4 separate regions of the Mus musculus genome follow, and regions 1, 3 and 4 are each reported to be linked to region 2. The links are microRNA targets in miRTarBase. Many come from high-throughput screens and were not tested one by one. Region 2 holds a microRNA gene; each other region holds the end of a gene's coding sequence.
Evidence for each region. Region 2 holds the annotated microRNA mmu-miR-26a-5p (UUCAAGUAAUCCAGGAUAGGCU, at 2,428-2,449, opposite strand). A microRNA usually pairs through its seed, bases 2 to 8, with sites in the 3' UTR of a target mRNA and lowers its output. Matches are read on the target gene's strand: a 7mer-m8 pairs with bases 2 to 8, a 7mer-A1 pairs with bases 2 to 7 and ends in A, and an 8mer does both.

Region 1 (7,109 bases), not on the chromosome of region 2:
CCAGGCCATCCAGGGTCAAAGGATAAGGAGAGTGTCTGCAGACACCTAACTGTCATATGGAGCAAATGTCCTACATGCTTCCAGATAGGTGAAACTGAGCCAGGGCCAAGTTTCCAACATCTCTGGGGTAAGGACTCAAGCCACTGTAACAGCCACATGAACAGAGGTGAAGGTTCCATTCAACGCTGACTTTGTTGCGTTGGTTCTGGAAGTGTGCAGAAAGGTCAGGATCCAGTCTACTCTTCTCCCAGCCACGCAAAGTAATAATCATTAAAAAGCTTTCATAACTACGACAAGGGCCATCTGGAAGGCAGCCCTGCCTTTGAAGTAGTCTGTTTGCCCAGTACACTGAAGGACACCATGTTCTACACTGCTGGCACAAGAATTTAAACTATTCACGAGTGGGGAGATGTCTCTGTCAGGAGACGTCCTGCTGCCCAAGCATGAGGGCCTGAGCTCATATCCCCAGCACCCACGTAAAAGCCAGGCATAGGGGTGCATGTCTGTAATCCTTGGTAGAGGAGTGGGTAAAGTTGGGTAGAGGCAGCTGATCCTGGGAAGGTCAGTGCCCAGCCAACCTCACAAAATGAGCGATCTGCAAGCTGCAGGGTTAGTGAGAAACTGATAGTAGAGATAGACCAAAAAAGATTCCTGTGAATGGCCTTTGGGCCTCCACATGCATGTGCACACATGTGCCCTTGTTCATGCACACACACGCACACACCACACACACACAAACACGACACATAAATATTTTTTACAAAGTTATTTAAGGTCAGAAGGAAGGAACATGCAGAAACCAAAAATAGCAAGCGAGGAACGGTCTCAGGGATCTGGCCTAGCAGCTCAAGGCCTGTCATGGAGCCTACCCCTCCAAGTCCAAGTGGGTACCTTCAGTACCCACCAGCAGCGCATGGGTTAGGCCCCTGGCCATGAACTCACATGTGGAGAGGTCCCCTGCTAGCCTTGCTTACCCTCACATTGCAGACTGTGACTCCCCCGATGTCTCACCCAATGTTCTTTATATTTTATTGAAGTTCCCTGCTGTGGATTTATTCCTTTGTACCTAATAAACTTTAATAAGTGAGAATGCGTGTGGTTGTTTCCCTGTGAAAACTCATCTGTGATCCCCAGTACTGATCTAAGCCTTTTTGATTGACGTGTGATGAATACACATGTTTCTGGGATATGGTGTGAGGCTGTGGTACGGGAATACAGTGTGTAACAGTCAGGCTTTAAGTACTAAGGCACATTTTTAAAAAATCAGAAACGCTTAAACATAGGACAGTGATTTTCTGGAACACCAGGAATAGCACCTTTTAAACTACATTTTTATTTATGTGTATGATTATATATGTATAGGCCATGTGTTCAGGTGCCTATAGAGGCTAGAAGAGGGTGTCAGATCCCCTGGAGCTAGAGTGACAGGTGGTTGTGAGTTTCCAAACACCCTTGTCGGGAACTGAACTTGAGTCCTCTGGCCCTATTCTGCCCTGTCCCAGAGCATTGTGTCTACTTGCCTCTCTTTACCAACAAAAAGGGGCTTCCCAGAGCATCAAAGGTCAGTTTTGACATCAGTCTTTGTAATGGCTAGAACTAAACCATGCAGCTGTGTGTCTCCTGGCCTGCACTTGCCTACCTTACTTGGCTCATCACTGGGTACCCAGGCACCAAGCTCAGTCTGGTTGAAGCAGCGTTCCTTTCTCTCTAGGTCTGTGTCCAAGTCTCCCATCTCTGCTGATGAAATAAGTCTTGTCCCCAAAGCATTAAAAGTTATCACTGTGCCATCCCTCTAGCCCTTGGAACACCAAAAATGCTAGTGTGTGTGTGTGTGTGTGTGTGTGTGTGTGTGTGTGTGTGCCTTCCATACACATTTTTAAAATAGAAAACAACATACTTACCAGTTTTATTACTATAGTATGGGTCAAGAATGTTGCCTCTAAATTCTGCCAATGTATTGAAATGAGAAAAGTTTAATTTTTAAGTATTTATTTTGTAGTCCTAGGGATTGACTATACATAAGCCCTAGGGCCTTATATATATAGGCAAGATCTCTACCACCAAGGAAAGCTCCAACCTAAAACCCTAGTCTCTCCCCTGCAACTCAGCAAGCCCTTTAAAAAAGCCTCCTCTGTCAAGCAGGGGCCGCTCCCCTCCACAGCTATGTTTCTAGTGGACACGGAAGCCTGGGAAAAAAGGAAGATGAAGTTTATGGTGGGGGAGGGGAGCTTGGAGGGGCAGGGCACTGGGACTAGAGTCGAAAGGCAAACCAGGATATGAACCTATTGAGTTTTGGGGATTAAATTACTTAGGTGTGTCTCAGTTTCTCCATCAGGCAAATCAGGAGGTAAATGCATAGCTAGGATGTAAAGTGATAAAGACACACTGTCAAGCTCTGAACACTTGGGTCCTGCAGCTAAGTAAGGGCACACTCTGGAAAGCAAAAGGGCTGTGTATTTGAGCCTTCTAAATATTTCATGTAAACAGATATGTGTGTGTATGTCTTTTTATGACATTCATTTTGTCCAACGCAATGTTGATACAGATTGTATGTAGCATGTGTCAGAATTGCCTTCTTTTAAGGGTGAGTAGTACTCCATTGCCTTGATATACCACATTCTGTATCCATCCATCCATCCATCCATCTATCCATCCATCTATAGGTAAGTAATAAAATAAGCTAGGAAGCTGACTGAACAGGCATCTTTCTGGGCCTTGATTTCAAATCTTTTGGTACATACCAGGTGACAGAATTCCTGGGTCACGTGGCAGTTTATGAGAAAGTCTCCATAGTTTACAATGGACAGCCACCTTTCTTTCTGCCAGCAATGCCTGATGTTTCCAGCACCCCACACTGCGGCCGCTGTTCTCACAGCTGCTGTTCTGACAGAGTGGCATATGGCTATAGTTTGGGGTGTTTTCATTGTTATTGGAGACAGGGTTTCTCATTGTAGACCAGGCTGTCCTCGAACTCAGAGATCCGTCTGCTTCTCTGCCTCCCAAGTACTGGGATTAGAAGGGTACCCCACCACACCCAGCTGGGCTTCATTTTTAAACAGCGAATTTGTCTTTGTAGAGATGCATAGTGTAGGGCCCTCAAGAGGTGGTTGAGTTTTCTAAAGATTCCAACCGGAAAATCCCAGTCCCTCATACGTGTGTGCTGTGACTGGTGCCGACTGTGTCCATGAGACACAAACAAGAGGCTCCTAGGTATTGACTTCCATGTTTTTATTGTACACTTGGTGCATTTAAAGACACTCCGAGGGCAAGCACTGGATAGAGACATCGTTTGATTTGTAGATATCTGTACAAAAGGCTGTTAAGACCACATGTTCAGTCCTCCCCCCACAGGAAACAAAGGTTTTCTGTTATACTGCTTCAGCTATGACATTTCAGTTCGCACACGTGATTAGAGACACGTCCTTATTGATTCCTGCAAGAATTCTCTGCATGACAGTTCAGGATGGTTGGCTTCAGTCAGTAAAAACACGTGTGACACACACCACAGGACAGGAGTTGGGGCTCAGCGCCATGTAGAATGAAATGCCGCGGCTGCGGGAGGCATGGGAGAGCCAGGATGCTCGAGCAATGCCTGCCACACCTCTCCCACCATGGTGTGCTTTCTCCCAAGGCTGAACTCTCAGCTGAAATTAGTTGTGATACAAGAACTCAAGTCAGTAATTTCAAGACACGCACACCTGGCTGCCCTGAGGTCCTTCCAGAGTAGCATCACCTGCGTCAATGTTCGATGACAGTAATTTTGTGGTGACAGTTATTTTCACAGCTACTGATTCATCTAAGAGTAAGGGAGCGTCACCACCGAGCTCTACTAGGCGTACAGCTGCTTCATCAGCTTGTGAGGCCGACTCCTACAGACACTGGAGCTTGTGTTGGGCTAAGTCTCCACAGCGTTTATCAGATGCTTAGCTAGCGTTCAGGCATCCCAAGAATGAGCAAAGACTATTTCCACTTTACTACCTTACGTAGACACTCGGGTGTCTGCCCCCAGCTAGGCTGCCATTTTCATTTACTGCAAATCTCATCTCCACAACACTAGCTAGCTTAGGTTAGGTTCTGTGGGACAGGTGAGACAGGCAGTCCATCCTTCATGATCGTGACTTATTTCTGCCCAAAGTGTGCTCAGGATCCCCTGCCCTCAGGCTTAATAGACATAGGGTGGTCTTCTGGGAAGTTATTTACTGATCGATCTTAAACATTCCCGAAGATCTATTTTTCTGCATGCTGTTCATAAAAGTGACCCCTGATTGAGAAATTACCCATGTCAGAAGTGTTTCTTCAAAGGGAAATCTGTTACATGAATTTTAAAACAAATATTCTCCTAAGTCTGCTTACTCAAAATCCAGTATTATTTCTGCTGTTAGTTTGGCTAAACTCACTAAAGTACGTGCGGGCACCTCGGCAGATTCCCTACTGTCCTCTTGTCTGCCCCCATCCATCCCAGTAAGCAAAGCTTTCATAGCTGGGCTCCTTATCCATTGCCGGAGGAGAAAACCCTTAGAGGGCTGCTGTGCCCTCTGGTGGTAAGATGACAACATGGTTGAGCTGTCCAATGCTCCTAAGAGGATTGGCCTTTCTCCGTGATGCTGGACTACAGTCAATAATAAAAACAACCACTGGGTTTTCTAGTGCACACCTGCATAATAGCGTCACAGCCATCTTCAACCTTGGCCAAAGTAATGAAGAAGGTCGCTGTGTCGTTTGCTACCATTAGACCTCTGATCAAACCCCAAATTACCTGGGTTGTCTCAGGCAGGTCAGATCTGATGAGCTGGCCTCAGAGGTGGAGGGCAGACCACACAGGGAAAGCACAGCACGGCTTTCTGCACCACCTTCCTTAAAGAGCTCAGCAGATGAGGCTGGGACAGGCAACTACTTCCTCCTCAAACCTTGTTCTTTTTCCCCTTTGCACCTGCTGGGCACTTTCAGCTTAGCTGCTCTACCTGTGTCCCTCTGTCCATCAGCAAGAGATACCAGTTTGTCATGAGTTTGTCCCATCTCTTGTGTTTTGCCATTTGTTTATACATGGAACCCACAAACCAATCAAGGAAAGAGCTCACAGTAGACATTCTCTCTCTCTCTCTCTCTCTCTCTCTCTCTCTCTCTCTCTCTCTCTCTCTCGGGTTGGAAGAGAAACAAGATTTGTCCCCCCAAAAAAACCTGTAGCCTGAATCACATTGTGAAATGAGGGCTCAGGTCCCTGCCAGCCCTAAGCCATGCTTGAGATCACTGGTGGACAGTTTCTGTTTGCTCAGCCCTGTCAAGAGTGAGGACCTATAATTAGGCCCCGCAGCACATGCTCTCTAGCCTCTCCTCTAGTCTACACTTCTGTCAGTCATCTTTACGCCTGGCCCTTCAGTCGTGCAGAGTGGCAGTGGATAGGCACCTATACCTCTTTCCTGTTCCAGACAGCATCCAAAGGAATCTGTTGGGCAGTGGGGTGTGAGAACAAAGTGGAGGAGATCCTGGAGGTCAGGTACTCAGCACACTGATGTGGGATCTAGTTAACGAGGCAGTGGGTGGGACGAGGGAGACTGTTCTGTGGATAAATGTCTCACTGCCTTCTGCCCTCAGCCCGCCCTGTCTTCCTCACACACTCCTGTGGCGTCAAATCCTTTGTGCAAACACACGGATGCTGGAAACAAATGAGTTTAATTTCAGGCTCTGCTGAGACCAGGGCTGCTCAGATTCCAGGTACATTAGCTATGCTCTCAGCAGTCAAGAGCGACCCTTTCCTTTCCCTCTTTGGCTGAGATTTGCAGCTGTGTGTGGCTGTATGCCAGGGCCATTTAATGAATCTCATACAAGTTGCTGACAATCAAATCCCAATCAATTTCCACACAGGGCCAGGTCCTCAGGTGGGAGCACTGTGGATGAGGAACTGTGGCTAACATGGATGCCCAGCTCTCCTCCAGGCGGAAGCAGGTCTGCTCCACTGCACATGAGCACAGCTCACAGAAGACAGGTCTTTCAAAAATCGCATACACCAGAGCAGAGCTGGGACTGTACCAGTCCTCTGTTCCTTCCCAGGACATTGTGGGGACTATGAGCTACATACAGGCCTGTGCTCTGTGGCAGGAAGCTGGGGGGCTCTCCCCCATCCACACACAAAAGCCTTTGGTATGAACAAAAGCCTTTTGTTAACCCTAAAGAAACCACTATCTAGAGAGGGACCAGGCCCTTCACAGCTCTTGTCTTTCCCACCAGCGTGGCCCTGCAGCCCTGTCCAAGGCGGAGGGAACTCAAGTTCCTCATAAGAAGCTAAGGTGTCCATTGTCACTGAAATATAAGAACATCTTCAAGCCCATAGCTTATCACACAATGGAGCAAGAGGCAAATGGGATCGCGTTACATAGCAAAGGGGGGAGGGTTGCTAAGCTGAACAGAGGGAACATTTAGACACAAGGAGGCCACATGGTAACTCTCGGTTTACTCACACAGAAGAGTGTTTATCTGCTGGTAATTTAGTCGGGTGGGAAGTTTTGAGTAAGGGTGAGGGTGCTTACATCACTTAAAGAACTTCATCTCGGTGTCCACACAGTCATAGAATAGGTCCCCCACCTCGGCGGGGTCCGGGGGCTCGGGGCTGCTCAGAATCTCGTCCATGGCCTCCAGGCCTTGCTTCTCCAACTCCAGCATGGTCTTCCTCAGGGTGCGACCTTGCTCCTGAGGAAAGGACACAGCCGTGCAGAATGGTCATGGCAGTGGATAGTGACAGCCCGGGATCCCGCTGGCTTCCTGGCCTCCATCCCATCCCCCCCACCTCCACTGATCCAAACCGCCACCACCATGGGGGCCGATTTAGAATATGGTTACAGCACCAGCCTGCTCAGAAACACTTGCACGGCCACCAGCTGTCCGAAATCAGAATAAATCCTGACTACCGAGTGTCAGTCGAGATGCACTGGCCTCTTGCCTTGTGTATCTATCCCTTCAGCCATATGCATGGCTATCCTCTGTGATATTCTCTCCCCATGGCTCAGGTGACTCTGTCCCCTGGAGGCTCTTTCCACCCTCAGCACTGTGCCAACTTGTGCCCCATCTTCAGAGCTCTGTGGGAGGTCCTTCCTCCAGAATGACATAGCTTCTCT
Region 2 (7,119 bases):
GAATCTGGGGCTGTGCTGAGCCGTTCACATGGGCCATTTCATTTAATGAACTCTAACAGGCAGATGGAATTATCCCCAATTAGACAAGAAGAAACCAATGTGCCAGAGGTAAAGGAATTTACCAGAAACCATTCAGCTCCCAAGGCTATCAGAACTCCCAACATTCTGTGCCTGCCAGTGACACTTGACACCTGCCTCTTAACTTGTTCCTCCCTGAAACCTGTGGCCATCAAACACGGGGACACAGGGACTCTAAAATCTGGCTGCTCTTCAATGCGTGAGGGAGACTCCCCCACACCTGCATCCATCCACAGTCACAATGGACGGGTCTTGTGGTTTTGTCTGTGGATAACTGGTTTCAGGTGGCTGCATAAAGCAACTTCATGGAGCATTTGTTCCAAATGCTCCCAGTCACCATGGTAACCAGAAACCTCTCAGCCTAGCAGTGTGCACATGGCCTGCATCTATCGCATCTGGGGTGGGAACCTGTCACCGTAAAAATAGCTTCCTCCACCTTAACAAAGGGCTCTTGGCAGCTTGGGGGGTGTGGTGGAGGGTGGAGAGGTTGGGATGACGGCTGGGAACAGGACGCAGGATGCAGGACACAGGATGCAGGACGAAAAGGACGCACCTTGGCCAAGCTGGCAGTAAAGAGCACACACTCAAAGAGCTGCCCCATCCTCTGGAGGAACTCGTCCACGTGAGGTCGCTTCAGCACATACACCTGCGGTGGGAGGAGACAAGAGCTGTCAGTCATAGCATCCAGGGACAGCGTGGGCCTTGGAAGAACTGCCAAGGGGCCCTTCTCCTGTTGCCAGGCCTATGTACGATTTACTGAAGCTTGCACTAGGTTCTGCGTCTCAACCCTTGTAGAGAGAAAGGAAAGCCGACCACGTCGTCAAGGTTCTTGAGTATCTTCGGAGCCAGTAAGCAGAGCACAGCTGTGCCATGTCCAGTCGCAGTTGCTCATGCATCCACTTGGCACTTGCTGAGTCAGCCCCTATGTGGCCACAGGCCACAGCCTAGGTGCTGTCCTTCTGGAAGTCTAGGACTAGCTGCGGCCTCCAACTCTGAACATCCCTGCCCCCTGGGGTTAATGCACTTGAAAACTTTCTAGTGGACACCATGGAGGTCACCCTGCTTGTGTAGGGGTACAGAAAGCACTTCACATGGGTAAGGGGCTGCTTCCCACAGTTGGGCTCTGTGTATCCTTCTGATCAGACCAGACAGGCCTGCGAAGCAGCTGGTTTCACCTAACACCCAGGCTGCAGTCTCTGGAGGCTAAAGGAATGTGTAGGAACTGGAAGAGAGAAAGCAAAGCCAGGGAGAGGCAGTGGGCAGAGGGAGGGACCAATTAAAACTTGAGTAAATTCCACTAGAAGTTAGCTACATCTTTAAAATAAAACATAATTACCAGGTCTCAGCGCTGTGCTCAGTTCAGCTACAAGGCTGAATTGGAGCCCCCAATCCTCTGGAGACTCGTGTGGTGGGCCTTGCCGGCTCAGCTCACTCAGTCTTGAGCACACACTGACAGAAATTAGTGAACACAAGAAATCTCACAGTGGGGTATTCATTCAAGATAATTCTCCCTTCCAGAGGGCGTCTCAGAAAGCAACATCTGGCCTTGACCTTGAATAAAGAGGAGCTCACACGCTGAGAGAGAGAGAGAGCTGAGCCTCCAACCCGAGCAAAGTGTGAACGTGAGGATCGGAAGCGTCACAACACTTGGGTTTGTGTTGGGCCAAAGCCTGTGTCCACAGCCAACCATAGGCAGTGAGAGAAGCCCTGGAGGCTGCTCAGGGAGGAAGCAGTTAAGGTAAAGAGCTAAAGGTAGCAGTAAGCCACAGGGCCTCTAAGGGCAGACAGAGCAGGGGAGGGGGCTGCGGAAAGGGAGAGGAGACACAAGACTGCACCCCATGCAAGGAAAACACACTGCAGGACAGACTTCCTAGATGGAAACACTGCTTTGCAGCATGCCAGGAAAAGGCGCTTCCTAGGGCAAAGACCTGGAGAGAAAGCGGCTGGCTAGCTTTAGGAGTGGGTTGGGGGTCTGGCTCTGCAGCTGAGGGTGGAGAGAGGGGCCAGAGGAATATAGGTGGTCTATCCTGGGTGCCACCAGGATCCTGCTGAGCTGGGGTGTTGGGCTAGGCTGAGGGCAGAGCTGTGTGGCTGTAGCAGCTGCAGGACCTGCTTTGCTCATAACACTCGTTGTTGCTGGTGCCAGTGACTGGGTGTGGCCTCCGGTCCTGAGTCTCCGGGAGGACTGCTTGGCCAGCAAGCTTGGCTACAGGCAAAGGGTTGGAGATGGACGGGGGAAACTCTGTTGTTGCCGCCTTTAGCAGAAAGGAGGTTCCTGGGCCCAGATGCCGGCGTCCAGGCCCGCGTCCCCGTGCAAGTAACCAAGAATAGGCCCCTTGGGACCTGCACAGCCTATCCTGGATTACTTGAACGAGGCCACGGCCTTCGCCAGGGCCTCGGTCCTCCAGCTTTTGTACCTTCCTTCTCTCTGGAGTTTCTGCTCCCAGCCCTGATGCCCGGGGTGTCTACTGCCAAAGAGAAGGGGCAAGGGAAGCCGGGGTGGGTCCTGCACTCCGGACGTGCTTGTGGCCACGTGGTGTGAAGAATTATTTTCTTGGGCAGTCCTCCTGAGCCTCACCTCAAGGACTCTTCGACTTTAGACACAACAACCAGCGCAGAGGTCCTAACTGCATGGCGGGGGTGGAGTTAATTCAGTTGGTGCTTTGTGAATGGTAAGTGACCAGGTGCCTGAAACCTTCCCAGGTCCTATGTCCTGTAGGACAGGATAGAGAGCTAGGTGGGGGTAAGGGAGACAGGGGGAACCAAGTCTAAGGAAAGAGCCCTGGCTTAGGAGTCAGGAAATCTTATCCTGATGATTGTCATATATAACCTTCTGTCTGGGCAACGGAATGGCTAAAACAGCTGATTTCACAGCCCTGGATTGTTCTAAACTGCACTCAAGAGTTAAGGAGCCTTATTGGCATCGTTAAGAAATGACATCCTGTGTGGCCCAGGAACCAGGAAATGTCTGTCCCTTCCTGGGATATGAGGCCAGATACTCTCCCCTTAAGGCCTTGAGTTTGATGGGGGAGACAGTCTGTCCCATCACTCCTAAGAAACATGTGGCAAAACTATATCTACCTTAACCTCCAAGGCGAGCTTTTCTACCATGTTTCTAATGTATTCATAGACGAAGTCATTTCCAGAAGAGCTTGCTGATGACGAAGAAAAAATAAAGAAGAAGCAACTCCCCCAAACAAACAAACAAACAAACAACCCCAAAACAGAAAACCCCAAAAACCGGAAGAAGATTGATGCCAGCTGACGATGACAATTTATGCACAGCACCCTGCTGGTCTTAACACACCCTTCCCCTTTGCTCTGGGTTGAGTATTTGCTAAAAAAGACACTGGAGAAAACCACATGGGCAGAGAAGCTCTCACGGGAGCAGTTGGCATCAAAGTGGACATTTTTCCCAAGAATGCTCCGTCAGTGGGTGACTGGTGGCATTTTCCTGTTGCTAGGAGAAGCCAAAAGCAAATGCATGATGAAGTTGACCAGATGTCAAACCCGGCCAGCGGTGGGGACAACTAGGGGATTGCACAAAGGCTCCTAAAAGTTGAAATCAAATCAGAGATCATACCTAATATTTATTAACAGAAAAGGGTCCTCATAAACACGGTAAAAAGCAAATGCATGCATGAGGCAGAGAATCATTCACAGTATTTTTATTTAGCTTTTGAGACAGGGTTTCTCTGTGTAGCCCTGGCTGTACAAGGACTCGCTTTGTGGACCAGGCTGTCCTCAGACTCAAGAGATCTGCCTGCCTCTGCCTCCATGCCTGGCTTACTATACTTATTATACAAAGTTTGTTTCCTGAAGTTAGAATAAAATGGCCACTGAAGTGAGAATTGAAAAAATGATGTTCCCAGGGAGTGTGGTTACAAGAAAATGCTCTCTGGAACTGCAGGCTAACTCTGGTTCCTTACCTGGTGTATGGTTCCGTCGATTTCAACAGGAACAATGAAGTCAGCATTACTAATGGGCTAGAGAGAAAAGAAATTGTGATTAATACATATGAAAGGAAAGAGAAAATTGGAAATTGTAGCAAGAAAGAAGCTTGCCTGGACCAATGTTTTGACGATGGCAGGAAATAGTTCACAAGGATGCTGGCAGAGGCCTTGGGTCCTTGAAATAAACATGTAGGAAGGAGTATTTCTTCCTGTCCTGAGTGTCCTGGAGTTCCAGCATCTAGCCCAATCTCTTGGACACCTGCCTGCCTCAACTGCAAAGGGTGGCATAGTCTGGCAAGAGAATGGGGCTGCTCAGACTCCAGCCTGGAGCCCAGACAGGATGGGGGACGGGGGGACGGGGACGGACCACTGATGGCCACCAGGGGGCAGAGATGAATGCCTGCTGGCCAGTTGTCACTACCACTGGAAAAGCAATTTGTCCTTGGACTCAGAGTGTGGGCAGCTTGGCACAGGATGCTCAGAGGACAGAGCCACAGCAGGCGGAAAGCCAGATGCCACAGGCGAATATCCTGGGTAGACATTCCCCTCTGGACTTCAGCATCTGCTCCTCAACTGTTATGGTGGTGGGTGCGATGGGTCCCCACGGCTCCATCAGGCCTCAGGCCCTGCCTGGTGGCCTGGCCTGGTTTCCTACTCTGGGATTGGAGGACGGCCAGCCTAACTGCTCTGTTCTAAGAAACACAAGACAGCTTACCTACAACTTCACAGGCATTTAACCTAACCCTTGGTTAGTATTAAACACATTTGAAAAATAAAATATTACCTCAGCAGTCACAGTCATTGAACAACGGGCTCATAAGCAGTTCTAAATGGAATCCCACACGTTAGAAAACTTAACGGAGAGGCTCAAAAGAACTGTCACCCTGCAGACGTTAGGGAAAGAGCGACTTGGGCATATGGTGGCCACCGGGTGGTGAAGGACATGCAGAACCTTTGGTCAGACTGTAAACCGGGTCTACATCTAAGCCCCTCAGTGCACCACACATTTCCCTTGACGTATACACTGAAAACTGTGGACTGCGGTAGACTAGACCCGCGACTAAATGCTCAGATGCGGGAGCGCTACTTAAGCCCGAAGTTAATGTTTCCAGGACAGGAAGGCGAGGGACGAATTCAAAATTTCATAATGTTACCACCGAAATATAGAATTACGAAAATCAGAGAAAACAACTGAAGAAGAAGTTGTCAAAGGCTTTGGGTTGTGAAATCCCTCTGCACGGGGTGAAGTAAGAGAGGAGAAATGGCTCCTAGCTTCCAAGTGTGGTCGTGAACTCCCACGCACTGCGTGATGATACCACCCTGAAGCCGGAGCTTTTCCCGACTCCACGAACTCGGGAGTCACACGTGAGAGGGGTTCACGGTGGACACATCCCCAAGAGACTTTGAAATGCTCAGAAAACATTAAATATCATGAGGAACATTCCACTTGCAAAAGCAGCCTGGTCCAAGCCCACAAGATGGCTCAGCAAGGAGACATAGCTCAGTGCTACACAGGGCCTGGTGACATGCGTTGATCTCTGGAACCCACGGTGCGAGGAGAGACCGGGCTCCTAAACGTGTAGTGTGACCTCTACACACATGCTGTGTCACCCACACATCCACACTCAGTGCAAAAATAGAAAAATAAAACAAAGTAAAAGATAATTTTAAAAAGTAGTGAGGCCAGAGAAGAAATGAGGGAGTTTTATTTACAGCTTGGGGAGGCCATGCCCTCTGGTCAGAGACACCAGTGCTGCCAAGGCCTGGCCTTGGAGCCAGGAACCCTTGGTAATCTTGGGCAGCTTGTCCGCAGCTGCTTGGGAGGGCACTCTCTATGCTGCGACAGAAGCTGACCCCTGCTCTGAAAGGCTTGATGCCCCCAGTTGCTTGTTTCACAGAAGGGAAATGTTGCAATGTCATTTAGAACCAAGCTTGCACTCCAGGCCACTGTGGCCCCAGGAACACAATCCTGGAAGAGCCAGGCCCTTGGAATGCTGGGTAATGAGGTGGTCCTACAAGCCTCAGCAGCTAGAACGAGGTCCTTTCTCACTGCTAGGTTATCTATATTCCCAAGCCCTTAAAGATGGCCTCCTGGCCTCGTGCTGAGCCTTCGTTGAGAAGATGCGAGGTAAATCTAATGATTCTTCTGCCTGATGACCTGCCAGAAATGACAAGGGCTCACGCTGAGACACTCATCATGGGTGGAGCCAGTTGCATCTCTCAGCGAAGTAAGAGGCATCCCAAGGCAGTGGGGCATGAGGAACATATTGAGACTGACCAGGGTAGAATAGTTTTATTGACAGGGAATAGTCCAGAAAGATGAGAACCAAGCTCGTATGCCCCCTGCTTCTCCCCAACACACCACTCACCCACATGTGCCAGCATTTGTCTCTTCTAAACAACTCTACTTGTTTGGAGCGGTGAATTAACAATGTAGCCACTGCCGCTCCCTCCCGAATGAGATGGAGCAGGGATAGAGATCAGAAAGCCCCTGACTTTCATTTTCACATAGTTTAACCACAGCTCCGCACCCACTGGGATGGGCTGTGAAGGTGAGCGCTCTGTCAGCTGTGAGGGCACAAGAAAACCCAGCATGAGAATGATCAGAATGGACGCCCAGGCCACTCGGATGCTTAACTCTGGAAGGCGTCCTTCCAGTTGGACATTGTTCAAAAATTGATCTGGGATCATTCCCAGGACAGCAGGGCTACCAGACAGTTTCCCACATTACCCACCATTGTTCAAAAATTGATCTGGGAACATTCCCAGGACAGCAGGGCTACCAGACAGTTTTCAACATTACCCACCCGGTGCACCACCCAACAAAATGCACAATGCTCCAGTTCCTTCAACAAACGTCACATCCTGGTGCCCTGATTGCCTGTGCCACTTGAACCTAAAAGCATTTCTACAGGGCTTAGAGTGGGGAAGCCCAGATCTCAAGGAAACGGTGAGATCTCAGAGACACTGGCAGCCCAGCCAATGGGCTTCCTCAAGCCAGTGACTTAATAATCAATTATTGCAGCCCATATTCACCTGGGTAACAGGATAGGTCTAACCGTCACCCTGAGTTCTTGGGGTGTCTTCC
Region 3 (7,119 bases), not on the chromosome of region 2:
CTGGAATTACAGAGGTGTGCGACCACTGCTGGATTACTGGATTACGGTTAACCTCCTGACAGCAAGCATTCTCAGCTGGAGTCACAGCTCAAGGTCAGCAGCATTGTCACAAAGCCCAGCTCCTTCCATTGTCCCTTGTCTTGCTATTATCGCGCGTGGGTCGATCATTAACGCATGCAGTCCTCATTTAAACCGGGTAGCTGAGTGATCCTAAAAACATTCTGGAGTCACCTGTACACTTGTCTGTCTTTTTCTTTTCTGCACTAGGAATTGAACCCAAGCCCTGGTGCTTTCTGATGGCTTAGTGGTGAGCCTGAGCCTCAGTCCCAACCCAAGCGCTTATATAGTTATCTTGAGTAGTTATCTAAACAAAATTATCCATGTTGGATATAGTATGCATGTCTTTAATCCCAGCACATTGGAGGCAGAGGCAGGTGGATCTTTCTGAGTTCTAGGCCAACCTGGTTGACATTGCTAGCGAGAGGCCAGACAAGGCTCCATAGTGAGACCCTGCCTCAAAACAGCAACAACAAAGTCGGGGGGGGGGGGTTACTTAACATTTTGTGTGTGTGATGTGTGTGCTGCAGAGCCCGTGTGGAGGTCAGAGGACAGCCTTTAGAGTTAAATCTTTCCCCCTTCCTTCATGTGGGCTCTGGGGCTGGAACTCAGGTTGCCAGGTTTGTACCACAAACACCTTGGCCTGCTAAGCCATCTCACCAGCCCTTACCCAGGGGCTTTACTTTTTCAGGGGGATTTGAATGGGAGTTCAGGAGAGCTGATGCCAAAGGCAGAAATCACAGAGGACAGGGACCATGTTCTGTCCCTTCCGGCTGGGCAGTGGCTGTTGCTACCCAACACCCCCAGTCTTCCGCACCTGTTTATTAATGCCTGCTCCGACCACTGGGTTTTTTTTATGTATATGAGTATTTTGCATGTGTGTGTGTGTGTGTGTGTGTGTGTGTGTGTGTGTGTGCACTCTGTAAGTACACACCTAGTACTTATAGAGGCCAGAAGAAGGCACCAAATCCCCTGGAAGTGGAGTTGCAGCTGGTTGTGAGTCACCCCGTGGGTGCTCTTAGCTGCTGAGGTGTCTCTCTGGCCCCATCAACCACTGCTTTTACGCAAGCTCTTCCCCGAACATTCCTCAGTTTCCCAGTGTGTAGGTGTCTTAGTCACTGTTCTATTGCTGTGAAGAGATACTATGACAAGGCAATTCTTGTAAAAGAAAGCATTTAATGGCCAAGAGTGGTGGCGCACGCCTTTAATCCCAGCACCCGGGAAGCAGAAGCAGGAGGATTTCTGAGTTTGGGGCCAGTCTGGTCTACAAAGTGAGTTCCAGGACAGCCAGGGCTACACAGAGAAACCCTGTCTTGAAAAACCAAAAAAAAAAAAAAAAAAAAAAAAAAAAAAAAAAAAAAAAAGCATGTACTGGGGCTCACAGAAGTTGTTTCGGAGTCGGAGGCTTAGTCTATTATCATGGCAGAGGGCAGCTGTGGTGCTGGAGAAGGAACTGAGTTATAATATTTTTCGAGACAGGGCTTCTCCGTATAGCCCTGGCTGTCCTGGAACTCACTCTGTAGACCAGGCTGGCCTCAAACTCAGAGATCTGCCTGCCTCTGCCTCCTAAATGCTGGGATTAAAGGCATGCGCCACCACTCCCTGGCCCACTGAATTACAATCTTGATCCACAAGGGGAGGAAGGGAGGGAGAGAGAGGGGAAGTGGGGGGAGGAGAGAGAGAGAGAGAGAGAGAAGAGGGAGGCAGACAGATGCTGGACCATAACAACATTTCCAGCCCACCCCCTGCCCCCAATCAAGTCTCTGTAGGATTAGGTGTGTTCTCTCTCCTTGAGGCTAGACCAGGTGGCCCTGTTGGGGACCCACATAGAGACTGAGCTACATATGTTCCGGGGTGGGGGTGGGGGTGCTTTGGTCCAGCCTGCATAGGCTCTTTTGTTGGCTCAGACTGAGAGCTCCCAAGGGTCCAGGTTAATTGATTCTGTTGTCCTATCCCCTTCAGGGCCTTTAACCCTCCCACCCCCAACTCCACCGTAAGAGTCTATGGGGCCATTCTTTTTTTTTTTTTTTTTTTTTTGATGGGGGGAGGGTTCGAGACAGGGTTTCTCTGTATAGCCCTGGCTGTCCTGGAACTCACTTTGTAGACCAGGCTGGCCTTGAACTCAGAGATCTGCCTGCCTCTGCCTCCCAAGTGCTGGGACTAAAGGTGTGCACCACCCCCCCTCCCGCATATATTCAGTTTTAACAAGCAAGCAAATGAATAATCTAGCATCTCTATGCGTGTTGGCAAAGCCTGGGAATTGGACCATGTGAGGGCAAATAAGGGTCTCGTGGGGGTGCAGATCCTGTAAGCCATTCACTCTGGATCTTGCTTACACCCGCCATCTTTCAACTTCTATCTGAGCATCTGCATACAGTAGGCACTGGAAGCTTTTCTTGTTCATTCACCATCGGGTCATAATTCTCTGGGTAAAGAAAGTTTAAAAAAGACAACTTTCTTTAAAAAGTATTTTATTAATGTGAGTGTTTTGCCTCATGTCTGTACTCCATGTACCAGCCTGGTACCTATGGAGGTCAGAAGAGGGCACTGGATCTCCTGGGACTGGACTTAAAAACCGCTGGGAGCCACCATGTGCTCTTCTGCAAGAACAACAGGTGCTTTAAACCTCTGAGCCATCTCACCAGCCCTTTAAAAAGCCTTTTTTAAAAACAGGATTTATTTTATTCTAGGGCATGCTTTTGCCCGTGTATATGCATGGGCACCATGCGTGCAGGCTTGGTTCTGGAGGAGGTGACAGACATCAGTGTATCTGATCCCTTCTAACTGGAGTTAAGGATGGTTGTGATGTGGGTGCTGGGAACCAAACCTGAGTCTTCTGTAAGAGCAGCAGATGCTCTTAACTGCTGAGACATCTCTGAGTGTGTACCTTTAAGAATACTGTCAATCTATTTCTTTCACCTGCTTTCCTGGTACATGACCTTCTCCAAGCTATGGTCCATAGCGCCCTCTGGTGGTTGCTACCTGACAACACGAGGAACAGTTTCTGCTCAGGGTTCTTCAGGGACCAAACCTTCAAGCACTGCTCATTTCACTGTGAACGAAGGCCTAAAGAGGGTAGGAGTTGCACAAGATCTCACTGTAGATGTTTTAATCATGGTTCTACAGATGCTAAACAGCCCAGAAACACTTTGGCAAACAGGTTATTTGTGGCTAATGCGTGAGCTCTGTTTGCCCTCTGGAACTCTTTCTGGTCTAGTCTAGAAGGCTGAATGCCGAGTTCACCCCTGTGTTCCTCCAGACCTGAGCCCCTTTCTGTCTCGTGGCCTTTGCAGGGGCTGCTCTCTGCCCTCTTCTTGGCTTGGTCTGTCAGCCCTGAGGAGCATTTCTTGACAGTTTCACGATGGTTTCACCCCAGTTTCTAAGACAGCCAGCTTAGCTCTCCTTCTCAGCCCTTTGTAACTGCAGTCACCCTTGTTCTGGCCTGCCTTCCCCTGTAGAAATGGCAGCACCTCGATTCCATTCAGTACCCTGCAGGACATCTGGACGCTGGGCAGGCACTCAGTCTTCTGAGGACATGGACAGAAAGGCAGGTGACAAGGGACATGCCAGACACTGCTTTAGAGAAAGTCTGGAGGTTTATTGAACAACCACAGTCACAACTGAACAGGATAAGTCATTCCTTACAAGGCTCTCTCTTCCAGGAGAGGTGGGTGGTCTTGGGATCCGCCCCTCCCCCGCCCCCAGAACCCTGTCTCAGTGCCCAGCTTCCCTGCCTGCAGCCCCTGGACTCCCTGTCAGAGCTGAGTGGACCGCGTTAAGATCTTGAAACCTGGGATGTAGCTACCACTCTCACCTAATGGTGGCAGCAGGGCCCTGGCTCAGCATCAAAACCTTGAACCAAAATATGAGTAGGATTTGCCGGAGAAAGCCTCAGCGGCAAGTGCTGATGAATTCAGGGTGGAATTGCACTCTTTGTTCCTTTCACACTGCCTGACTTTAGACAAACAGGCTGCCCTGAGCACTGGATGCAGACAGTCTCCTCTGTGAGAAGTAGGGACTGCTGAAGCGAGGGGTCCACGCAGGGAGGAGCGTGACAGGAAGGACTGAAGGGGAGTCATGATGCTGACTTTGGAGATCCACTAGGCCGCCCATCAGAGCAGCTCACTGCCGCAACGCAAGATCTATCATTGCTGGCTGCTTTTAAAGCCAGAAGCTCTAGTTGGCAGGGCAGGGTAAGACAGCCTGCCTGCCACACAATGGCCTCATGGCAAGGACACTGCATTCCAAAATGTTTCTGGAATCTCCGGGGCGGAGGGGAGGCCGCCTTTCTAACCACATCTTGTTTTTGTAGTCTTAGCCTCTGAATAAAGCTTTGGAGGAAGAGGCCAGCCGCCCGGCCTGCTGCGTGGGCTGTGGCACAGGCCCATCAGCAGAGTAGAAACCTGACTCTTCAGGACAAGGATTTCCACACCTGAAGCCCAAACAAGGTGGGGATTAAGTATCTGCAGCCAGCCACCAAGCCAACCTGGTTCTTCCTGTGACACACCTCCTCAAGTCTTAGGCTCTAAGGTCAGAGTTCAGCAGTCACAAATGCTGAGGTGCGCTCAGAGGAAGTGACTGCTGGAGAAGGGGACGGAACCAGATGAGGATGGAATGAATCGGGCGAGCAAGGGAGCGAGTGAGGCTAGGGATGGCTTGCGGCAGCATCTGCCTTAACCACCCTAACCACCTGCTCGGCATCCGCTGGAAACCCAGCTGCTCAGCTCGCCCCTGATAGTGAGGTTCAGGCAGAGCACTTCTGGGCTTGTCAGGTCTCTAGAGCTGTCCTGTCTCAGGGAGGGCCGCACAAATAGGCAGTTGTCCCTGCTGTGGGGGCCTCTGGGTCTCAGGTTCTGCTCTGCACTTTCTGCTTGAAGTCAGACGTAAAGACACTCATTGGGCTCATAGGACCCGAATAAGTGTCCCTTCTCCACGCTCCCCTGTCTGTCTGTCTGTCTGTCTAGCAAGGCACTAGTAAGTGGTTCAAGTTTAGGGAATCAGCTGCTCGGCTGCATTTTCTCTTTGTAAAAGGCACGGTTTTTATTGAAACAAGGCCGCATTGCTCTCTGAGGACTCAACTCCCCTTGGCTGCAACACGCATCCCTGCTGGATTCTGGACACCCACCCACTCCCCTTTTTGACTCCTTCCCAGCCGGCCACTTGTCAGACAGAGTGCTCATATGGAAAAGGGCACTAGAAATCCACAAGTGAGCTGTGACAGCACAGGGGCTACGTGGAGGTGGTTCTACAGCACCAACCCGACGAGCCTGGGGACCCGATGACCCCGATCCCAGCATCTCTAAGGCAGAGCTCTGGCCTCAGGACCATGTCTCAGTTACTTCACTGGCAAGTGACCAGCTCCTTGGAGGGTGAGTTCATGTTTGAGACATGGGGCTAAAGGTGATGTCCTCACACCTCACGAGGCTGTGGCTGTGACGGCATTGGGTTGGACCGAAGCTTCTGGTGCCCTACCGCCTCTGCTTGGGTCAGGGGTTGCCTGACACCTGGCTGCTTGCGTTATATGCCCACACGTGCCATGGCTCATCTATGCTTTCAACAGAACCACAGAACTTTCCAGAAACTCCAGGGTTCTGTGAGGTTGGAACCACAGCAGTCATTATCTGGGGGAAGCCACCCCCCAGGAGACTCTGGAGGTGATCCCTCACAGCACCGGTTCCTCTCCAAGGCAGGGAGCCGCCAAGGAAAAGCACGGAGAAAGGGCTTTGGAAGCATTGGCTGGGAGCTGTTCGGTCTGGAGGTCTACTTAGCCGGCTGAACTAGCCCTGACGACCTGGTGCCCAGGTAGCCCTGAAACTAGAACGGGCATCTGAAATACCCAGAGAGCCAGGGGAGACATCCTTTACATCTGGCTGCAGAGGAAGGGGCCCCTCGCCTGGTTGCTGGCCAGTGCTAGCTATGGAGCACTCGGAAGTCCCAATGGCCTCTCATTGCCCTGGACCAACACAGAAGCTGGGCAATTCTAGCAGTTCCCTCAAGAACAGGCAGACTTCCTTGCCAGCAGCTGGCACACAGGTTTAAGCTGTCCCAAGGCCGATACCACCTTCCTTTCTAGGGCACTGTCCTGTCTGCAAGGGCAACCTCATGGCTCAAGGCTGCCCAGGCGATTCCTAACACTTAGGGAACATGCTGACAGGCTGGTGAGCTCTGCTATGATGTGAGCAGGCTCCGCCTTCTTGGAGAGCCATTGGTATGGTCTGTTCTCCCCGTGGCCCCACCATGTCAGTCCTTCAAGAACCCAGCACCTTGGTGCCCACCGATGCCTCTTCTCCCACAGGAGGAAGGTTTATGAGCTCCACAGGAACCTGAGGGGTTTGTCAAGGTCTAAGGACTCAGTTCTTGTTGAAATTCTCTAAGACCGTCGAGTTGGTGTGTTCAAAGAGCCACTGCTGGGTGAGGGAGGAGGGATTGCAGGTGTTCATGAAGACCCTGTGGTCACTCTCGCTGCAGTCCATGCAGCTGCCGCTCACAGGGTGGTACAGCGTCTTGTCCTACAGAACAGGAAGGTTGTCAGTGGGGGAACACAGGAGCCATGACAGCAACAAGGAAGCAAGGCCCAGCGTCTCCTGTCACCTCATGATGAATGCTCCTTCTTTTTTTGTTTGTTTTCGAGACAGGGTTTCTCTGTGTAGCCCTGGCTGTCCTGGAACTCACTCTGGAGACCAGGCTGGCCTCGAACTCAGAAATCCGCCTGCCTCTGCCTCCCAAGTGCTGGGATTAAAGGCGTGCACCACCACTGCCCAGCTTGAATGCACTTCTAAGTGGGACCTTCAGCACGGCCTGCTTCTAACCAGAGTACTACTGCGTCCCTGCTGCACGGAATGCGTGAGAGCACGCTTCCTCCTTCCCCCTTCCTTCCTTTCTCTCTCTCCCTTTCTTTTTTCTTTCTCTCCTTTTGTTTCAGAGTCTTGCTATGCAACTAGGACTGACCTAGAGCTGTATGTAAACCAGGCTGGCCTCCATCTCACCGAGAGCTGCCTGCCTCTTCCTTCCTAGTGCTGGCATCTAAGATGGACACCACCATACCCCAGCATGGCTTCCTTT
Region 4 (7,119 bases), not on the chromosome of region 2:
ATCCACAGCTTCTGGTGGATCCAGATGGGAGAGCTGTTAGGAAAAGGAGCAGGCTCAAATCAGAGTTCTCATCAAAGACTAAATAAATAGGACAATTGAAGTGAGAAAACTTTTAAAATGGAACTGTGAAGACAGACAATGGAATTTAGTCTACTGGGTGCCTCTGTTAGACTGGGAAGTTGTCATGAGTTTGGATCTGAGACCACACTAAGAGAATCGCACATAAACTTCCTCTCCGCTCCTGGCAGGACACATGAAAAACCCTCTCCCAATGGAACAAAATACCTGATCCCTGCTGTGGCCATCCCTATGTCCCAAACGATTACACTTCTTATGCCTTTGCTTCATTCTTGCCCTGGGTAGGTTCTGTGTTCAATATGGACTCATTGAATCCAAATGCCTATAGGATCCACACCTACCTCCCCAAACCTTCATCTGCCTCCATGTTTGGATGCAGATAGCTTACTAGTGTCTTCTTTTCCCCTAAGCCTTATCTGGTTCACCCCTCAAATTCTGATTTTCTATAACCTGAGTGGAGCATATGTTCTGAACTTTAGCCTCCTCAGAACTGGAGTTCAGAGACTCACTTTCTTCAGCTCATATGAGCCTCAAAATTCTTCCCTCTCAACTCTTGTTTACATAACTGTTACCCATGACTCTGACACCCACTAGTCACTCGCCGATCATGGTCTTCCTTCAAGACCCTAACTGAAGCATAAGAGTGCATGCATTCAGATAAACAGGGTCTTCTCAGGCCTGCTGTGCGAGTCTCTAACAGATACCTAACTCTTTGGACAAATAAATGGAGGGGACTCTTTTTTTCTTTTTTTTTTTTTGTGGTTTTTCGAGACAGGGTTTCTCTGTGTAGCTCTGGCTGTCCTGGAACTCACTTGGTAGACCAGGCTGGCCTCAAACTCAGAAATCTGCCTGCCTCTGTCTGCCTCCCAAGTGCTGGGATTAAAGGCGTGCACCACCATGCCCGCCAGCTCGTCTTACAAGATGACCTCTGACTCCATGGTGGTGTGCTGGACCTCTATGAATGTTCCCATTTAGCAAGAACTCAGAACTACCCAAGGTAGCTGAAAAGAAAATCTAAGATGATCTTTACGTTCTAACAGTTAAGTTCAAGAGGTTAAAAGTACCTTTAATCTAAGATTGTAGTTGTAGGTAGAATGCTTGCCCATGTGTCCAGTTCCCCGCACTGCATAAAGTGGGCTTGGCAGTTTATACCTGTGGTCCCAGCACTTGGAAGTTGGGAGACAAAGAGAAGAATCAGAAGTTCAAGGCCATCCTTGGCTATATAGGGACTTTGAGGATAGTCTGAGACACTAACGACCCTGTAAGTAAAGAAAGGGAGGGGAGGAGGGACCCACAACAGAAAACAGTTCTGCATTGCTAGGAGGAGTTTTTTCAAAGCTCACGTGGAATCATGAAAATCTATAGTATCTAGGAAAACTAAAATGGGGCAGGGGAAGGAGAGCGTGTAGTCAGTTTGAACACAATAATAAATTCCAAATCACCAATAACGTGTTGGTGACACATTAAGGAAAGAAAGCGTTTCCCCTTGGTGTCATTTAACCAAGAGTAAGCTCAGATTTTATTTTCTATTTCATGTTCCCTGTGTCTTCTGTCTTCATCCTCTGTGTGTTACACGAGTCTAAATCTGTGCCTGCCTGAAGACTGTCTTGTAAATCTATCCCCACTGTGTGTTCATCTGTCACAAAGGGCTTTGTTCTCTATTGAGCAGCCCAGAAAGCATAACATGGAGAAGGAATGAGGGATAACAGAAATCTTTAACAGCGTTTTACAAGGGATTATTAAATCGGACTCCAATTAACCCCAACCGACCCAGAAAACAGTATCTCAAACACTATTGTTTATCGAGCAATATTTAAATGTTGTGTTCAACATTCGTGGTGGATATTCGCTTTAGGAGATTGCTTTCAACTTCTGTGTGTGCTGTTTTCAGCAAATGACACCCATTCATTACTGTTGGTCAGAGACACGGAGAGTACAGGACTTGAGATTACAGCTAGGCACAGGGAAACCCAAGGGTAAGTAAGGGTGACTGTTAACACCGGTTTCTTAAAAGCTGAGCACACAGTAGGATAGCATCTTACGTCACAAGTGACCTCAGGGTCTACTAACCTTGCCTGTAAGGTCCATCAAAAGTTCCACTCCAGTCTCTTGGAGAGGACCAAGGGCTAATATTCAATATTATTGAATTAAAACAATGTCTACTGGTACATATAGGAAAATGGACTGATGAAATGGAAACATAACCTAGATAAGGAGCTAGGTCCATAGAGGTGTCAGAGATCTTCCTGTCTACATGATTCCTCAAAGGAGTCATGGAACAAATGGCTAGAGTTCCCGGACCAAACAGGTTACACCTATGTAAAGTTAGGTTGGTTTCTTTAACCTGTATTTTGTACTAGGATCCAAAGGATCAAACAACTGGTATAGGAAATGAGACCATACCACAGCATGGTAAAACCATTAAAACAAAGCCACGTAACAAATTGGAAGACTGAAGCCCATCACGCTTGAAGAACACCTCTAAAAGGTGGGGTCTAGTGCACAAAGAACACCAAGCAAATTAAGGGTTAGTTGTTAATTTTATACATTTAGTTTTTAAAATGAACATTTTAAATTTCCATCCTATCAGAATGTCCAAATCTAGCATTTGAACACTGTCTCTGGTGGTGAGGCCATGGATGAGCAAGCACACATGTACATGAGCTGAGCTAGTCCCTCCCTGTGGAGGGCAGAGTCCAAGTCAGTACCTCTCAAGCCTACAAGTGTGTGTGGTCTTTCACCTTTGAACACTTAGAAATGTACATATACAAATGTGACATGATATGTGGACAAGGTCTAGAAACAACTCAAATGCTCAAGAATGGTACCACTCAACTAAATACTGGCATAGCCATAGTAAGGATACCAAGCAACCAATAAAGTGAAAAGGCTATCTCTCTGGTGGTACATGGCTACTGCAATAATTAGGTGATAAAAAGCAGATGGTGTGTATGTGGTATTACTCCAAGTAAAATAAGAGCAAATAGAGAAATAAGGCTTTATATGTATATATGTTGGCATTTTTTTAAAAAAGGAGTGTGTGGATGGAAATACAAAAAGCCAGGGACAGAGGACATGTGTGTGCACTATGGGAAACTGGGAAGACATTGTGGTATTAGTGTATATTGTGTTTTTTAACCATGTGAATGTACCACCTATTTGGAAAGTTAAATAAAACAAGCATTTTTTAAGCCTATGACTCAATACAAATCATAGAATACTGTTCCTACCTTTTGATTGAATGGTATTAAGTCCACATTATCAGTACAGGCTCTGGTGGTTCGCTCAGGCTCTACACGCCTTGAGCTTAGAATAGAATAGCAAGCTCTGGCTGAGTCTCAGACCCCATTTGTTTTCATGCTTTAGGAAACACCTGTCCTTACCACCTAGTGTGCCGCTCCATGCAAAGTCCTCAGCACACACGGCCAACGGCTGCCATTATGACTGCAAGGAGAGTCCCCTCCAGACTATGCAGAAGTCTATTTTCCTCCAATCCATAAATTATAAACACAGTCTCATAAGAAGCCCTTGATAAGGAGGAGGGGGAAAAACAAAGAAACAAAAGATTGCAGAAACATGTATTTTAATTCATGGTTCAGACTCCAGTGGTTACAACAGCAAATTATTTGGAATTCTGCTCAGAAAACTCAAAGCTGCACCTGTAGATGTCATTTTAAATAAAGGACACGTGGATTTATGTACTTGGTTTGGACCAAGGAGTTTCCGTGACAGCGTGTATCTGGTCTGAGCCTTTTGGTGACTACTAAGGGCTCCTGCAGGAACTTCAGGCTGCAAACTGCTGAGAAGCAGTGCTGAGGAAGACCAGCACAGTTGTCCCTCCTTACACATGGTGGCACCTAGGCAGGGTCGAAGAGACACAGCACAGCATTTCATACACAAAATACAGGGGCTAACATCTGAGTTGGCAAGTTTCAAAATTGATTATCTTGTTGTTCGGCTGATCCTCCACATAATCCAAAACAAGAGGAGTACTGAGCATGGGCCATTTTAGTATAACATGGATGCCACTAAAGGAATATACAGGCCACCAATGAAAACACTTCCTCTTCACATTGTTATGGCACCAGGTACAATCTTTTCAGTCAGGCTTGCTGTCAAGTGCTAGATTTTTACAGCAGGTGATGAGACACAGACAAACAGCAAGTGTTTTGTCACAAGCAATCTCACAATGTAAGCAGTGCTTGAATTTCCCCCAAGCACCGGTGACAGAACCGGCAGATAGCCTCCTACAGATTCATCATCAGGGTCACCAAACAGTCCCACAGTCCACAGTCCTCAGATGTCATGGTGATGTCGCTGTGCACACACCAACACACCCTAACGTATTTAAAAATTAATCCAGTGAGTACCAACTTCAGAATACTTCCCTTACTGAAGGAATTCATTCTAACAACCATTTCTTTCAACTTCCTAGAACACACTGTACTACTGTGTGTCCTAAGCTTGGAACAAATCATAGTTAAGAAAAATTCAGCAAGTGGAAATGAAGATTTTTCCCCCCTTAAGCAAATAGTTTAAATAATAGCATCTAACTGCAGTGGTGATAAGTGACATTTCCAAACAATCTCCACATTTAAAATAAAAATAGACAAAGTGCAAAATTTCCACCTTTCCTTACATTCTAAATGGGCACTACAGAACCCGCTGGTGTACAAGGCAAGGTCACTGGCATTCACTTGGTGGGCTTTTTATCTTAGAGTGGCCCGTTCCCATCACATGGCAATACTTGCAACTCTTTAAAAAATAAAAAGCAAAGAAAAAAGAAAACTTCAAGCCAGCTTAAAAAGAGTAATCAACCGACAAAATTCACTACTATCAACAAAACATTAAGTTTATAAAGATTAGGAATGAGGAGCAGAAATAATCATAGAGGCCTCAGGTCTCATCACACCTCTGTAGTGGAAGACTAGGCATTCAGAGGGGAATGAGCCAACTTAATAATCTGGCCTACACCATGAAGTTACAAGGAACACAGTAAAGACTTTGGCAGATAGGATGTGGATTTAAGAGCACTTACTGTTTACTCCAGAAAGACAGAATCTAAGGAGAAGCGAGATTTTTGGACTCGCATAGATAAAAACCTTTCAAGTAATCCCATTATACACTGCCACCTTTAAAAGAACCAAGATTTAAAATATTTAAAGATTTTTTAAATCCCGGGTTTAGAAAATGGCAGTTTAGGGCCATTTTAGTCCTCCACTGTCTTGAGTCACCAAGGATGGCTGATCCGGGATGAACTGAAGATGGAGGGACAGGGAGGAAGTGACAGCCGTGCTGAAGCAGCTCACCAGACAGTCGCACAAAAGAGGTAGAGGATTGCATAGATTGTGTTCAAAATCAAATATTGAAAATGCTTACTTTAAAACAGCAAAATGTGTGTGTAATCCAATTAGCATTATAAACCCATAGGATCCCATTCAAATTTTGTGAAGAAAAAAATCCATTAAATAAATAGGGCTTTTCATAAAACAACTGAAAATGTCTATAATTAGAAGAGGAACAAAGAGAAAAGCCAGAAGGGGAGCTGTAGGCTTTAGGTAAAGGACACTCTACTCTTGAGCCAGGCTGGGGTACACGGGCCAAGTGAGCACGGGAGGGCACTGACCCACCTTCACCAAGGCAGGTCCCTTTAGGCCAAAACCACAGCAGCAACAGCAACTAAACATGGTAACAGGGTTGAAGCCCTGGGAAGCCATCCAGAACCTCTCGCTAGTCACTGAAAGGCCTATTCACTATAGTTACAGCCCTGCATTACAGAGGATGGCACACAGTGTTAGGCAAGTCTAAAACACTAACTACACCAGCTATAGATTTCTGTCACTGGGACCAGCTCTAGGCAACACTGGTTCCCTGGTTCTTTTTTTCTACAACAGATTGAATAGTCTTCTCAGGATAGACAGTCATTTAAAGTTTGACAACTAGAAATGCAGAGTAATACAATACAAACAAAATGTGAAACAAACATGGCATTAGTATAACTTACAATTTTAAAGGATATACTTCATTTATAAATATCTCTAATTGGTATTCTATTAAAGATCATAAATATTCAAGTGGACATTTGAATTTTCTCTTAAAGAGTTCAGAATTCTTGAAGTCTTAGACATGTAGTCTCTTTGCCCAGTGTCCAAGGCTAAAAGGCTTCATACAGTCTGCTATGTCTATGAAGACATAGAAAAGTCTTCATTACCTCCTGTGCTGCAACAACGCTTTAAAGTTCTGTAATTCTCTTATGCTTGTAGAAAGTCTATAGGAGGAAAACAAGTGCATATTAGAACATACAGAGGGCATGCTGTACACAGACTTGAAATAGCCAATACAGCTTCCTTGAGCTATATAACCTGGAAGCAAAGAATCTAAAAGAACCAAAACACTGAATGCTGACAATTCCATTTAAAAGAGAAATGCTGTGATTCCTACTAAAGCTGACAGGTCATGGAGCTGTGGGCCTTTGGGCATGCTTAAAAGGGCAACAGAAACCACTCTGTCTTCACACTGAGACCATCCATGAGAGGCAGGTGTGTGGTACATACACACCTTTGACTACAGCACTAAGGCAGAAGCAGACCGATCTCTTGAGTTTGGGGCCAGCCTGGTCAACAAAGTAAGTTACAGGACTTGCCAGGGTTACACAATGAAACGTTGTCTTGAAAAATGAAACAACCACAAAAAGCCTATAGATGAACTATGGACACAGTGCCACTGTCTACACTGTCCCTCCCACTCCCAGTACCCGTCTATACTTATGGCATTGTACAAGTAATTACTGGCTCAATGAATAAATAAAGAGCTCAAACACAGACATCAAACCCTGGGGTTGGAAGAATGGGAACCTACAAGTTCCTCTCCCTTATGAACTCAGGGTTAACCTAACGAACCTGCTATTTCTTCTACAGCCTAGCCACAGTGTCCACCTGTCAAGTATACACGCGCAACAAACTCAAAGAACACAACAGAAGTTAGCTACAGCTGAGCTTTTAATTTTTTAAAAAGATAGATAGATAGATAGATTGATTGATT

Region 1: the mRNA of Scrn1 is a reported target of mmu-miR-26a-5p. The part of its 3' UTR that is shown has no 7-base or 8-base seed match.
Region 3: the mRNA of Galnt10 is a reported target of mmu-miR-26a-5p. Seed matches in the 3' UTR shown: 7mer-A1 at 5,040-5,046.
Region 4: miRTarBase lists Ero1b as a target of mmu-miR-26a-5p. Seed matches in the 3' UTR shown: 7mer-A1 at 6,148-6,154 and 8mer at 5,183-5,190.

Annotation. Positions count from the first base shown.
Region 1 is chr6:54,502,679-54,509,787 of GRCm38, forward strand. It overlaps Scrn1 (secernin 1), which reads right to left. Exons shown (of 8, transcript NM_027268.2): 8 at 6,138-6,684. The coding sequence ends at 6,526. It overlaps Wipf3 (WAS/WASL interacting protein family, member 3), which reads left to right. Exons shown (of 9, transcript NM_001167860.2): 9 at 1-1,090. Among named protein-coding and RNA genes, the nearest start is that of Gm52863, 6.2 kb to the right of the region's middle.
Region 2 is chr9:119,027,141-119,034,259 of GRCm38, reverse strand. Mir26a-1 (microRNA 26a-1) reads right to left here and starts at 2,464; the gene lies at 2,375-2,464. It overlaps Ctdspl (CTD (carboxy-terminal domain, RNA polymerase II, polypeptide A) small phosphatase-like), which reads right to left. Exons shown (of 8, transcript NM_133710.3): 5 at 4,008-4,064; 6 at 632-724.
Region 3 is chr11:57,784,017-57,791,135 of GRCm38, reverse strand. Galnt10 (polypeptide N-acetylgalactosaminyltransferase 10) reads right to left here. Exons shown (of 12, transcript NM_134189.2): 12 at 3,635-6,566. The coding sequence ends at 6,408. Among named protein-coding and RNA genes, the nearest start is that of 2010001A14Rik, 14 kb to the left of the region's middle.
Region 4 is chr13:12,606,054-12,613,172 of GRCm38, reverse strand. Ero1b (endoplasmic reticulum oxidoreductase 1 beta) reads right to left here. Exons shown (of 16, transcript NM_026184.2): 16 at 3,645-6,346. The coding sequence ends at 6,286. Among named protein-coding and RNA genes, the nearest start is that of Ero1b, 44 kb to the right of the region's middle.